Linked DNA regions of Diceros bicornis minor. The protein of the gene in region 2 interacts with the protein of the main gene of each other region in a biochemical or structural test. Links are inferred from orthologs where the notes say so. Each region holds a gene or a part of one and is shown on either strand. Other genes may lie near its edges.

Evidence for each region.
Region 1: of the proteins of CASP3 (region 2) and HCLS1, one has a biochemical effect on the other in vitro, tested with the Homo sapiens proteins (2 studies listed by BioGRID). The link is inferred for Diceros bicornis minor from reciprocal best matches to the Homo sapiens genes CASP3 and HCLS1.

What each region holds. Positions count from the first base shown.
Region 1 is NC_080754.1:22,653,211-22,661,175, reverse strand, and holds the start of HCLS1 (hematopoietic lineage cell-specific protein), read left to right. Parts: upstream 1-4,946; 5' UTR 4,947-5,083; intron 5,084-7,490; coding exon 7,491-7,574; intron 7,575-7,965. Other genes in the region: GOLGB1 (golgin subfamily B member 1), read left to right, coding at 1,276-1,381, 1,648-1,782. UniProt on the Homo sapiens protein: Substrate of the antigen receptor-coupled tyrosine kinase. Plays a role in antigen receptor signaling for both clonal expansion and deletion in lymphoid cells. May also be involved in the regulation of gene expression.
Region 2 is NC_080768.1:16,324,822-16,332,082, forward strand, and holds the start of CASP3 (caspase-3), read right to left. Parts: upstream 3,018-7,261; 5' UTR 2,926-3,017; intron 1-2,925. UniProt on the Homo sapiens protein: Thiol protease that acts as a major effector caspase involved in the execution phase of apoptosis. Following cleavage and activation by initiator caspases (CASP8, CASP9 and/or CASP10), mediates execution of apoptosis by catalyzing cleavage of many proteins.

The sequences.
Region 1 (7,965 bases), on a different chromosome or scaffold from region 2:
TTTTTCTCCCCAGAGCCCCAGTAGATAGCTGTACGTCATAGTTGCACATCCTTCTAGTTGTTGTATGTGGGACGCCACCTCAGCATGGCCAGACAAGCGGTGCATCCGTGCACACCCGGGATCCAAACCCAGGCCGCCAGTCGCGGAGCGTGCGCACTTAACCACTAAGCCACGGGGCCAGTCCCCGGGACTTGCAATTTAAAAGCAGCCAATACTGTGTGGCTCACCAGTCCTTACAAACATCTCATCTTTCCTCAGCCTAGCCTACAGAAGTTGGCAGACTGACCTACATAGTACCAGACCATGCTGTTCCAGATTAAGGCTGCCCTGAAGAGTTTATCATAAGGAGGAACAGACACAGAAGGTGTACTGTGTAGTCCGCCTGGCTCTCAAGAGGAAAGCAATTAGGATGGAGCTAGGCTGTGCATGATCAGTTTCTCTTTCCAGACTCACAAATCAGATTAAAGCGTTCCTTCTCTCCTGGAGAAAAGTGAGAGAGGCCAGGAGTATTAGGCTAATGGATATCCCTTCCTGTGGAGGAAACATCAGGAGTAGAGTTCCCTCCTCCCCACCACAATTAAAAAGTGCATCCCTGTACGCAAATGCTTGATCAAATATGCTATATGTTTCCTACATCTCCTTTGATATGGTTCTTGTTTTTGTGAGAAACCATTGAGTGGATAAAGGCAGCTTCTTCATTAAATGGAGAAGTTCCAGTATTAAATAAATAAGCAAATCAGCAAAAAATGAAGGAGAAAGCAGTAGAGGCTGCCAGTTCAGTTTAATTCTAAGAACCCCACAAAAATCTTTCTTGGATGCTTTTGCCTATTAGCCTTTAATAAAAGAAAAAAATTTTAATGAGTTTCTCTGAGTCAGGTGTGGTGTAGTGGGAAAAAAAGGGCGTGAAGTTTAGAAACAAACCTGGGTTTTGAATTCTGGCTCTGCCTCTTAACTGACTGTGCCACCATGGACGAGTAATTTTACCTCTTTAAGCCTTACTTTGAAGATAATAACACCAACCTCAAACCTGAGGATTAAATGTATGTAAAGCACCCAATCCAGCATCTGATACATAGTAGGCAGTCGACTCATGGTAGTTATCATCACCTTTTACCATCTGCCTGTGTACTCCTTGCATGGGGGCAGGGACTGTGGGAGCAGCCTGTGCTGCAAGTCCCTTGTGCTACATCACATAGCAAGATGACTGGGAAGACTTCACCCGATCAGCCTCTCGTGCTGTGAACCAATGCCATGCCTCTTTTTGTCTTTACACAGGTTGGAGCTCGGTGAATGGGACTCTGCCCGGTCTCCTATCATTGGCTCCTGTGGCACTCAAGAGCAGGCACTGTTAATAGATCTTACAGGCAACAGTTGTCGAAGGGTAAGAAGGGAAGAAGGATAAAGAGAGGGGACTGTACTATCAGACAGGGCTGGCTGTGTTGAGGGCAGGGGGTCAAGGAAAAGGAATGTGGAAGTCCAGGCACTAGACTGGAAGGGTGTGGAAGGTTGCAGGAACCTAGTGGAATTTGCCAAGTGGTTGACCATGAGGGGCCTTTCTCTTGGGATACTCCTTTTCTATAGTGGCTGGAGAAGTGAGGACATGTCCCCATAGGGTAAAACTCTCTGATTTTCACATTTTTCTTTCAGACCCGGAGTGGTGCTGGATGGAAGCGCGTCCTGCGTTCTCTCTGTCATTCCCGGACCCGAGTGCCGCTGCTAGCAGCCATCTACTTTCTGATGGTTCATGTCCTACTCATTCTGTGTTTCACAGGCCGTCTATAAACTTAGTTCTCACGTTTCGGATCACTCCCCTCAGAACATGGAATTCCCTCACCTCTAACATCAAAACCATCAATTCCATTGGAACAGTCTTCCCACTTACAGGTCCTCTCTCCAACTCTCCACAGAAAGTGCCTGCAAAAAGAGGTGGATGTGAGCACAGGTTAGAGCTGTAGGCCCCAGCGAGTCTGCTCTCTTCTACTGCACGAGCCTGAACACTCTGCATCATCTGAGGAGCCCCCATACTTGGTTGTTGAGCCCAATATTTGTTCAGATTTTACAGGGCCCTGATCTTTTGTGGTCCTGGGAAAGATGCTGAGGAATGTCTTTCAGCCAGGAGGATGGTTCCAATAAACCTAATAATCTGAAGTCCAGTATCATTTTGATTGATACGTCTTTTCTTTGTTTTCCTTATATTTTCTCCTGCTTCAGGGGGAAGGTGGACCTGCCACAAACAAAGTTCTGGGGAACACTGTCTCCTAGGATATCTGATTAGGTCTCCTGCAAGATAGGATGGGAGCTGAAGAACTCCCCAGAGGTTTCAGCTCTTGGATCCTGGGGGAGGATAGCATCTCCTTCCCTGGCTATTCAGACATAATTGGAGTGAGATTTCATCCTGAACTGTAAGGATAGGAGCCCATTGCTTATGCCCTTGATCACATGTAAACAAAGGTAGTAAGTGGCTTATGCCTTTCATTTCACTGAAAGGTAGGAAGAACTGGCTATGGACAGCACAGCGGGATTCAGATTCTTCTCATTCCTGTGTTACCTGGATATGCCTCACTTGTGGGCCCTAAGACAGTACACTAGGAGCCAGTCCTAGGTGAGGCATTGACTCCCAGTCAGGAAGATCTGACTGGTCTAACGACCACTCCTAGTCTCTTGAAGTATGAAGCTACTTTACTGTTGGTGACAGTTATTCCAGTTTCTCAGTCCCAAAGTCATCTGCCCTCTGTGGTAACAGAGAGCTGAAGAAAATGGAGGGAGAATATAAAGACAAAATATTTAAATCTAGGCCTGAGAATGACAGCCAGAATCGAATTCCATTTCTGCTTATTCCTTGCCTCTTCTCCCCCTCAACACTTACCTACTGGTTATTTTCTCATTATGCACATGATGTGTTCCCTGCCTGCTCTCAGCACCCAAAGAAGAGAGAAAACTGGTGGACTGACTGATCTGCTCTAATCCTTTTTTCTGTGGTGACCAAATCTTGGTCACAGCAACCCAGGAACTGTCCCGAACAACTGTAAAATAATAAAATTATTTTCAGAATGAAAAATTGTGGTGTGTGCGTGTATGTGAATGTATGTATACACGGGTGCCTACATATATGTGTGTGCGCGCTGATGGGAGGAAGGTAGATAGGGATAGGGTAGCCAGGAATGTATATACGGGTAGAAAGCTCTGCCTATTCAGGCCTCCTTTTCACTGGCCAATATCAGTAATGGCTGCATGTGTCCTAGCTTTAGCCACTAGACCCCAGGGTGATGAAGTGGAATGAGGAAATTCCATCCTAATATTGAACCAAAGAAGCTGGGCCTTAGGGCATGAGATTCATGCAGGTTTGTGTCTGGGCCTGGGAGAACTCTAACTGAAAATATTAGGCCCCTAGGAATCCATCTGAGTGGCGTGGGGGAAGGGAATCTAATAGGGAATAGCAGGATGGGCATTATGTTTTTATGTTAGGTCACTGCTTGAGAAAAGCTAACTCACTTTCTCAAGGTAAGTAAGTGAATTGGGCCAAGTCTATCTGGCTTCAAAGCCCATGCTATTTCTATGTGCTCCATCTCACTGTGTCTCATCAGGAATGAACTTGGGACATTTGCTAAGAACAGATGGGGTTTCTTGTCATCTCTGATTAAATTCTATGGTTTCTCTAAAGAAATTATACCTGGATGGTGTGTCACAATATCTGATCTGATCATTCCTATTTTTGACACTGAATTAGGATTTGAAATGATATAAAAGATTTTTTCACCTTCTACAAATTTACTCTTCCTTAAAATAATTTTGGTGCTGCCATAATAGAGAGGTCATGAAGTAGGAGAGATCAATAAATACAACTGCCCCCAGGCGTAGAATCCTTAGATTTGGACGTGACTGAAGTCTTACTAATGCAGAAATCCCCTCAGCATCTTGGACCAATTTCATCCAGTCTCTGCTTGAATCCATGGGGGAGCTCACAACTGAGCAAATCAAGTTAGAACTCCACGTCAATCTAGATTAGGAGAGGCCAGGTCAGATACAGTAACCAACACCCTCAAATTTTCAGTAACTAAAAGGATTACTTGTGTTGTAGTCACTGGGGACATCATGTTGGGGACCCTCTTACTCAGGCTGCCAGAGGAGCCACTCTGGAGAATTGCAGGTTGCCTTGGTGGGCAATGGGCGAAAGAGCATGGCAAAGCTCGCGTTGATCTTAATGTCTCCACCAGAAAGTGATGTGTTTCACTTCATTTATTTCACTGGCCAAAACAAAGTCACTGAGCATGTCTGACTTCAAGAGGGAAGGGAGGAGCAGCAAATCTTGATGAACAGAAATACAGAATATCACAAAGACCTTCCATCCCCTGGTACTACCTCGTTCTTTCAGACTTCTTCCTTCTGTCTGGAACAAAATCTTTCTACCAGTTAGCTCAGACTCCTCGCTGTCTCCTGAACTATCTCTGCACCTTTCTCCCTCCACGTCTTGCCTTTCCCCTTGTGAGTTATTCCCTTCCATCGTTCAATTGCTCAACGTTTATTTGAACGTCTACTATATGCAAACCTCAATTTTAAGTGCTGTGGGTAACGTAGAAATGAGTTTCTTTTTAAATCTTACCCTTCAAAATCCACATAAAAATCATTTTTCCCATTAAGCCTTTTTTGATTACTTCAGCCCATACCAAATTCTCTAAATTCTTTTACTATAATAGATGCAACTGCTCACCTATTTAGGACACAAATGTTGTCCTACAGCATTCTTTTATGTGTTTCCTGGTTGAATGTTTTGCTTCCCTGATCAGATTATAAGCTCAGAGTAAGAGCAGCATTTTCTATGACTTCCTCGTGACCCTCAAAGCCTTGCAAAAGAGGAGGCACAGAAGCATTTAATCCTTTCTTATTTAAGTGCCTAAGCAGAAGGAACTGACTCAAAACTTCAGGAAGTAGCTATGAGGACAGGGTGGCAGGAAATGACAGAAACCTGAATACGGAACCGAAGCAGCAGCTCAGTTTCTTGCTCTGAAGTAGCAGCAGCCAGAGAGGGAGCCGAGTGTCGACGTGAGGAGCTGGGAGTTTGGAGCAAACACTCACACTATTGGAGGTGGGTACTGGGAACAATGGGAAAGTTGGGGAGCACAGGAGAAATGTTGAAGTAAGAGGATCCTACCTAGCTCTTAGTCCTTGCTGAGAGATGAAGTCACCGCTAGCAGGCTTTTAATCTTTTATGGCCAGAAGGCCTGGGTGTAAGTCGTTATGGATAATGAACATCTGGGGATGGAAACAGAAGTGGGGGGCTGGAGCCCAGGGAACATGATTCAGCAGCCATCCAGGACCCCTGGTTTCTGCTGACAATCTACAACCCTCTCTAAGGCCTGTGGCTCCTAGGCATTGAGTTGAGAAGAGGACTGCAGGAGATGAAGACAAAGTCTCTGCCCTAGGAGAGCATATGGTCTAGCAGAGAGACAAAACCCACATAGGAGACACTGTAACAGATCAGGAAGTAGGTGCTAATGGACGCCAGTTCTGAGAACCAAGCGCTGATGCAGGCCAAATGAAGGCGTGATGCTTCAACTAGGGCTAGTTTCTGTGATTATAGGATCGCAGAATCCCAGAATGTCAGAAACAGAGGGAACTTGATGGATCAGCTAGGTTAACCTCTTCACTTACTTTCCATTAGGGAAAGCTGAGCATCAGAGATGTTCAATGATTTACCAAATTATTTAATATTTGTAAATTGCCTCGCCCAGTACCTGGCAAATAAGTACATACTGTTGATTCCCTTATCCATGCTCCCACAGGGGCTTAGTAACAGAGCTGGAATGATCTTCTGACTCCAAGCTCATATACTTTACTGATGCCAAGGCAGCCTTGTGATGAGACCCTTGATTGAGCCTGCAATCCTGGGCACCATGCCTCACCAGGTTACTTGCCCATCACCACCTCTAGATTGCACCTCTCAGCCTCCCTATTTCTGGCCAGTACCTCATAGATACTAAATTGCCTCTGTGTCAGAAACTCTTCCTTTTGTTTTGAAAATACATGACGATGGGAGGTTTATGAGAAAGTCAGGCTGAGGCCTCAGAGGAACAGCAGGAAAGACGACAGGACCGTCAGTCCACATTGCTTCCGTATTGCTTACGAATATTTCAGAAACTTCTCCTTTCCAGCTTTCCATGTGAAGTCCTTTGGTTGCAGAGTAGCCCAGGAGCCAAGAACATAGGTTTTGTCTACCTGACGCCTCATTTGTAATTGTTGCCCGCTGGGGAAGGCAGAGCTGCTCTCGGCAGTGATTCATCCCACAGTGCAGCTGACACAGTCAACACTTCTCCAGTGTGCTCTTTGCATCTCTTTAACCAATCTACCCCCAAATTTCCCTTGGGCTAGTTTCCAAGGGGTTTTTCGAAGAGCATAGAGAACGATGGAATTTTCAAGTGAAAAGAAAAATCCAAGAGTCTGAGGGCCTGGGTGGATAAACTGGAGAGTCCTAGGAGTGGGTGTAAGAGGGACTCCTTAAAGAGACAATGAAGATCGTGGGGAAAGACACCAGTGAGGTGAGGAATCTAAGCAGGGAACGACGAGCAGGGGAGTTGCCAGCTAGCAAGTGGTACCAGGGTCAAGAAGGCTCAGTGGCCACCAGAGCGGGTGAGCGTTGGCTGTTGTTTCCTCTTCACACCAAGATCCAGGATACCACAGACGCAGAGCCACTGCGTGGCTCCTCCTTATACATGATTGGCAGGGCCAACAGAAACACTGGGGATGCCCCAGTAGAGTAATAATTTGGTACTCCCTCAAACTAAGGTTCTCTAAATATTTCTTTATCATTTATTTAGTTAATAAAGATATAATAGCTTTTAATGTTCAAAATAAGAGATTTGTTACATGCTATTTTTTGAACCAGTTATCTTCTTTAGAAATATAATTGAACTCTTCTTAAAAATTGAAGAATAAATGACTTATTCTCAGCAAACAATGCTTCCCTGTGCATTGTGCAGTGTAGGAATTTCAGCTGACTGCCCCTACTGGCCTCATGCAGCTTGCAGAGAGGAGTGTAAATATTCGTTTTATCAGGAGCTGGACCAATCTAGATTTCGACAACTATAAAAGGAGTCATATGTAGAGTGAAATGGCACTATGATTCTAGGGATGTTCTAGCTCCCCTCCTTGATTACCACTTCAAGCCACTGCCTGACTAGCCACTGGACACAAGCGAATGATCCAACAGTTTTGACACCGAGGTTATTTAGTGTTACCTACACCCAGGATTACTTCTTTCCAGACTCAGGTGTGGCCAGGCCATGTTAGTTTTTCTTGAATAAATCCCCATCCTCTCTCCTCTAACTGAGCAGAAGTGGTTTCCTAAAACTTCCATCTGCTTTGCTTCAGCTTCTATATTCTTCCAAGAAAAAATGGCAAGAAACGTTGAGCTGCTATATCATTGACTTCAGAATTCTTGTTTTCCTTCCTCCCAATTTTTCCCCTTAATTATTCCCATCTTCTGTCACCCTCAGATGTGGAAGTCTGTAGTAGGGCATGATGTTTCTGTTTCCGTGGAGACCCAGGGTGATGACTGGGACACAGACCCTGACTTTGTGGTGAGTTTGGAAATAGTTTTGCTTGGACAAAGAAGGGCAGGGAAGGGAGAGGCATATGGGCCACTCTCTGACCTCTGAGGGGGCTTAGAAAAGGACAGTCTGGGACTGAGATAGCATCATGGTGGGACTTACTGGTAGGACAGTTGGCTGTGATAAGTGGGGCATGCATGAAAGCTGGTATTGGAGGTGGAAGGAGACAGGTGCAGGGGAGTTTGACATTGTGATTGACGGGTAATGGCAGACTATGCTGAAGGTGAGGAGCAGGTTAGTCTGGGTCTCCTTTGGCCTGGGAACCAGGAGTTGGGCTGGACATGTGTATTTTGGGAAGATTCAGAAGTTGTAGGAGACCTGAAGCGGAAAATGTGAGGGATGTAGAGTAGGAAGGGAGGTT
Region 2 (7,261 bases):
AGTGTATGAAGTAATGGAAGACAGAAAGACCCTGTCCCTGTGTGGGACTCACAACCACGCTCACCGGCATTCAAAAGTAGCTCAGCAAGGCAGATGCCAGACAGTGTGCACTACACATCAGATAACTTTATCTTACTCTGCCCTAATTCAGAAGCCCTATAAGCAATCTGAAGGCAAGAACAAATAAGCAGAGAAATAACAATATTACACAGAGATTTAGAAAGCACTGTCACAGACACTATCTCATTTTATCCTCACAACCCTGTGAAGTATGTATATCACTTATGCCTATTTACGGATGAGCTGGTAAGTGTCGTCCTTGGGACCTGGCCTTAGGTCATCTGACAAGAGTACCTATTCCCCTCCATTACATTTGTATTTGTTAAATATCTACAAAACAGTTATCTAACAGTCTAAGAATTCCCACATCTTTTTTTAGGCCCAAACACCAGTGCTTCCCATCTTTGAGGCAGAGCTTGAAGAAGTATCTAATACTAGGCACCAGAATCAATTTAATACCATTCATAAAAATAAAGACTGCTTTCTAGCATTACAAGGGGGATGCGGCAGTAGATTGTGTTATACCAGGTTTGAAAGCAAAACAGTAAAGAAGCATTGCAATCGCCCATATCAGTAAGACGTGAGTCTCTTAAAACCGCAGGAGGCAAGGCTTTTTCAGGATAGCAAAAAGAAATCCGATTTAATTAGGCACAATGTTTCATTTCTTTTTTACCGTCAACAGGTTTTACTGCCACACTGCAAAAAACTGTCCGTTCATTAAAGCACATTCTAACTTTCAAAAGCCTTCTTTTGCAAAAGAGCAAAGCAAAACCAAAGCTCAAATATCAGGTTGCGATAGGGATGATTTAAGCTTTATATTTCATTCTTAGAGATTATGTAACTACAACACATTCAAAGTGGCCGAGCACGTTTTGATACAGGTTGGTCTAAACCACCTTGCTAAGCAGCTCCTATTACTATCTTGTATACTCACATCGTTACAACCACTCCATATTTCACCTCTACCATTCCTTCCTAATCCAATCTTTTAATTATATTTTGCTAAGTAATCCTAAAACACGTTTATTTTTTCTAGATAGGGCATAATTATTAAAAAGCATAAGACTGTAGTATAGGCGTTCACTTGTGCAGGCCCTGGACATGGGGAAGGGCAGTAAAGAACAAGACAAACACAGTTCCTCACGGAATTTGCTTACAAGCTAGTAGGAAAGATAGGAAACAAGCAACTGCAAAGGATATGACGTTTTCCTCTATGAAAATCCCGATGCGAAAGGAACACATAATAGGAAGACTTAACCTTGAAGTGTTGAATGAGAACAGAAACTAAGTAGGAGTTCCTCAAGCAGATGTGATGCAACCAGAGTGGGAATGCAGGAATGTTCCAGGCAGAGAACAGGTATTAAGATCAGCCTGGCTGTGTAGAAAGTGAAACAGGCTATAATGAAATATAAGGCAAGTGAGGAGACCAAGGAGCCAACCTGTGCTTGGCTATGTTACCATGCTAAGGGACTGGGTTTTTCCTATGGGCAAAGAAACAGTTTTCTAGATTTTTATTTTGTAAAGATCCCTCAGCCTGTGCTGTAAAGAATGGAGTGGAGAGGGGCAGAGGGTCTGGAAGTATGGAGGCCAGTGAGGAGGCTGCTGTAGCCAGGTAAGAGCCTAGGGTGACTTAAATCAGAGATGGAGCGCAGTGGACAGATCTAGCGGACATTTAGGAGGTCGAGGAGGCTTTGGTGGCTAACTGGGGAAGGACCGGGGACAGGTAGCTGAGAAGGTTGGTTCTTGGTTTTTTGGTTTGGGTTCCACTTACTGAGAATGGGAGAGAGGCAGCTGCTTGGGAAATAAGGCTTGAGAGAGAACAAGGGTGACAAGTGTGAGAAAGGCACTCGCATTCAACATGGCCTGAGTGAATTTCAAAGCAGCTCCTAGGTGGATTTGGCCATGGACACACAATCACATGGCCGAGCTGGACGGACTCACGGAGACCTTCAGGTCTCAAAAGGAATTAGAGTTTAACGCCTGAAATTGCTTCTCCCGAAAACTGAGTTACATAGTCAACCCGGGAAAATCTAGGCCCGAGACAGAGAAGGCCGCAGAGAGCACACCCTCGTCCAACAACGGGAGGTTCAGCCCCGAGGGCCAGCGCCACTGGGACGGCACCGGGCCCGCCTCCTGCCCTCGGGGCATCGTTCCTCCGCGCCGACCATCCGCTACTCCCGTCCCGGCCGCCCTCACTTCTCTGGCATCCCGCTGCCTGCCGCTCCCGGGCCCGACCTCCCACTACCCGGCCTCGGCGCCCCCCTCCCCCGCGCCCCGCTCCCGGGCCCGGGCCCGACCTCCCACTACCCGGCCTCGGCGCCCCCCTCCCCCGCGCCCCGCTCCCGGGCCCGGGCCCGACCTCCCACTACCCGGCCTCGGCGCCCCGGCCTGGCCTCTCGGTTTTCGGTGCGCCTCCCGTCCCGCGGGCTGGGCATCTCCAGTCGGGTCTCCCCTCCGCGGCCTCCACATCCCGGGCCCGGGCTCCCGCCCCCCACGCGCCCCCCGGCCTCGAGGCCCCCAGCCTGGCCTCTCGATCTTCGGTCCGGTGTCCCGTCCCCCAGGCTCGGCATCTCCAGCCTGGTCTCCGCTGTCGGCCTCCACACCCCCAGCCCGGCCCCCCGACCCGCGGCCGGGCCTCCACACCCCGGGCCAGGTTTCTCGCTCCGCGGGCTCCAGCGCTCCTCCCCGCGCCCGTCGTCGTGGCCAAACAAAGGACCCGCCGCCCGGAGCGTGCCCGTCTCCTCCGTCTCCCCGGAGCAGCTGCAGGCCCCAAGGGACCCCGGGGCGCGCGCCGGGCTGGAGGCGATGCAGGCAGCGGGCAGGGCCGACGGCGCGGCGTCGGGAAGACTCGAGGGCGGCACTCACCGCACAGCCTCCACGCAGCGCTCAACCGTCCACTCCGCTCTGCGCCCCGCCAGCTCGGCTTCTGCGGCCCGCCGCCCCCAGCCCGCCGAGCTGAGCTCCGAGCACGGCCCGCCCCCCGCTGGCCCCACCCCCGGGCCCCGCGCTCCCCTCCGCGCCGACACGTCCCTCCCGCCCCGGCCCGCCCCGCCCCCGCCGCCGCGAACGCCCCTCCCTCAGCGGCCCCGGGCGCTCTGGCCCGCCTTCCCGTCCCGGCCCGCTTCGACCTCGCGCTCCGGCCCCGCCCTGCGTGCCCGAGAACGCCGCTCCCTCAGAGTCCCGGCGCGCTCCCCGCTGCCCCGCCCGCCTGCCGGAGAACACCGCCCCCTGCCGCGTGGAAGCCGCGCCCTCATAGGCCCGGCGCGCTCTGGCTCCGCCCCCGCCCCGAGAACACCGCCCCCTGCCGCGTGGAAGCCGCGCCCTCATAGGCCCGGCGCGCTCTGGCTCCGCCCCCGCGCCAGGCTTGAAGTCGCGATCGCGCCACGGCGCGGGGTTCTGGACGTGAACGGAGGGAGACCTCAAAGCCGCGGCAGCCCCGAGGGGCGGAGAGAAGGGAGTCAAGGTTGGACGTCTGGGAGGAAGGGGAGCAGGCCGACCCGCACTGGTAATCTCTTCCCCTCGGGTGACCTGAGGCCTTTCCTTAGGTCACCCCCCCCCAATTCGTCCTTAAAGCCTTAACTGCCTACTGGTTCCCGCCTATTTTGGGTCACGAACGCCTTTCAGACCCTGATGCAAACTCTCAGTCGTTTTCGCAGAAGACTACACCAACACGATTGAGCACGAAATTCTGCATCAGATTTCTAGAGCTTCATGACATTCTGATAAGTCAGGGACCCCATGTTAAGAACACTTCTGCCTATTCGGATATAAATCAGGGGCCGTATTTTGTACATGAACATACAGCGTTATATACGTGGCTACCATTTGTTGAGCGCTTATTCTGTGATGTTACGTGTGCGCAATACACTTTCTTATTTTATCCTTTCAACAACCCCGGGAGGTAGGAATTCCAGTTCCCATCAGGGCTTAAAAAGGTTAAGTAGTTTGTTCTCGCTAAAAGGAGAGTTACAGAAGTTAAACTGGGATCCCAGGAGTAAAACTTAGCCCTTTCTTTATCCCTCCCAAGTTGAGAGAAGACAAAAGTGTGGCAGTCCTTTTTCTGCTGCAATAAAACTGAGGAGGACCCACTCCCACCCCTAAGTGGTTCAGCATGCAGCTATTCGTAAGGGAGGCACCAGTATAGTTGAACAAGTCCTCTTACGCCCCTGTGATGCCCAAGCCTCTTCCTGTGCTAAACTTTCTTACCAAAATGATGCTTCAGTTAAGGCAGCAGCAGTTTTCTGCTTTCGTGTAATTATACTAGTTTACTTAGTCTAGAGAAACTTTAATTATAGTAAAACAGTTGGCTGGAGGAAATGTCTTCTGACCGAGTCCAGTAATTTGTTTTTACAGAGGTGTCTCAGAGGTGGCGGAACTTGATCCGGGCCTTGAAAGGGAAGAATTTGGAAAAGGGAAGTGAGGCATTCCAGGTGAGAGAAACATGCAAAGGGACTTTTGGAGTGGGCCAGATGCAGGAAATGGTTATTATCATTCATTTGGTGATTGCCATTTGGTGATTTTCATTCATTTGGTTCAGAAGGCTGAAAGATAAGAAATAAAATGGGTAAGTGGTTTAGGGCCAGATTCTGGAGAGAGTTTGGACCTCTTGATGTTAACTATAGTGTGAATTGAGTGATGCTCTGAATCATTAATGGGTGTCCCTATGAAAAGTTACGAAAATGGTTTTAAAAGTCATTAGTCTGGCAAAGTTAGGCTGTTTGGGTGGGAGAGCCTGTGGAGATGGTAGAAAGGGGTAACTGGAAAAGAACAATATATCACTGTATGTTTTCTTATCCCTTACAGGAGAATTTTGGGGGATTTAAATGAGTTACTTCTGTTCAAGCATAGAGCGGCAAAGTGACTGAAGTGGAAGAAAAAGAAAATTCAGTCAATTAGTATATTTCTTACAGTGTTACTTCATCTGAGAAGTAAACATATAATATTACTATTAATGAATTTTAATTACATACTTTATTATGAATACTTTAGCAGTATTCCAAGAGGCCACAAAAGGGATTATATTAAGAAAACATTGCCAGATACCAGAACATTACTAAATACTAGAACTAGAACATACCTGCAGAAAACACAAAATACTGATGAATCTATTCTGAGGACAGAGGAAGAGGTTGGAGTTAGGGAATAGGAATTGACTTGTGATTAGGCAAACAACGGGAAGAATGTAGGAGAAGTGGACTAGGGAGAATCATGGCAAGGCAGGCTTCAGATCTCCCTAGAAGCCAGTAATCATGAAGCACGCGCCCCCTATCCAGCTGCTCCTGGGAACCAGGGCATCAAGTGTCCTAGCTGGGCAAGTCTAGGCATAAACCCAGGGAAACCAGGGCCATTACATAGGATGGCCACCTGAGTCATCTCTCCACCTCCATCCCCTCTTCCCCTTTTCTCACTATGCTACAGTTACTCCCAAAGGACTAAGCCAGCCTTTTTTCTAGCCTGACCACGTTTAGTTGTAAAATTGGTATCCAACATGGTTAAATCAACATTCTGGTGCAACGTTAAGAAACAGTGCTCTTAAGTCTACTATTTTAAAATACAACAAATATTTTTCTTTGGAACTTGGAAACTGTTACCAAAAATAGTTATGGTCCCTGTGTGAAAAGGGGTTTTGATGTACAATTCTATAAAAGAAAGACAGCACTCTTTCCCCACCAGGAATTAAAAGCATTTCTAAAATGGTGACGTTCTCTCAGAGGATAGGAATAAGGAATATGATAGTCCAAAACCGGAATGCCAGATGCCTTCCTGTTCTCTGTTTCCTTTGCTTTTGTCATTCACCCTCCTGCTCAAATAGTCCAAGCCCCAGTTGTCTTCTAACCCTCAACCCAGCTGTTAAAATTTTCAAACTGTGCAAAGAACATGAGGGTGTGGGGGAAGAGGGAGAAGCCCCCTCTGCCCTTTCCCTTAAGGTTCTTATGGCTGGCCAAATAATTAACAAGATAGGTTAGCAGGAGAAAATAATACCAAGTTTAATAACATGTATACGTGGGAGAAAGCAGGGACACTGCATTTCTCAACACAATAGCAGAAATTCTCGTCTTAAATACCATCTTCAGCTAAAGACAAAGGAGGATGCTGGGGGTGGGGAGTCAGTTAGTGGAGATTACCACTAAAGCACTGTAAACAAGAGTAAGGTTATTATGCAGATTTAAGGCCTCACCTTCCACATTGATGAGTTTCTAGAAATGAAGTCATCTCACCTCTTCCCAATACAGAAAGGGAGATACCTTTACAAATGGAGATTTCCCTTATAAATGTAAATGTTTGTCTGGCAACTCCTCTCAGGGCCATCCAGAGAATGTGCCTAGAGAGACAGAACTTCTGATAAGATGGGCTTGTTGGTGCCTTTCCTATTGTAACATCTATTTTACATTATATTACAGATCTTCTATGTCAAATTCTTTAGGCAGTTAGTGGGGGAGGTCAAATGTCCATCAGAGAAAACAATCAAGGTAAAGAGATATGTTTCAGGGTAGCCAAATCTTGATCTCCCACAAGGGCATAACATATATTGTACTTCTCTTTTTTGTTTCTGTTGACATTCATGGCTTTCTCAGTCCAGTAAGTGTCAAACTGATTTTCCACTCTGACTCCTTGATTTTCATGTATGACACACTTCCATTGTCATACCAACATTTTTACAAAATTAAAATTTTCCTGGTATCAGTGTCGATAAGTATGAACGTCCACATGGTTATTCCTAGTCAGTTATTGGGTAGATACTAGAGCTATAAGTCACATCTGATTGTAGTCTGTTTATTTTCTTCATTAAGTACTCAGTGGACTTTATTGAAAGTTAATTTCGTAGGAGAAAGTCAGTTTCTCCGTTAGGTTGCTTAAATGTAGGGGATTTCTATCTGTATGTGAAGCAGATTAAAGTAAACAATACTCAGAATCTATCTAGCAATAAGGAGCCGTATAACTTTGTACTGAAAAATTAAAGCAGTTTTATTTAAAATTGCCCCATCTTTTCAATCCAATGAAATTGTAGTCCTTTCCTAGATATATCTGTTATGAAATTTATGTTGATACCTTTAGAATTATGTTTCTATTTCTTGGTTTATAATTTATAATTTTCATGTGGATTAGGTGTAACTCTGAGAGAATAATCTTTCTTAGGTCTGCTATAGTTGAAGTCAAATTTGAAATCTAACAATGTCATGACATTCCTACCCTGTCTTAA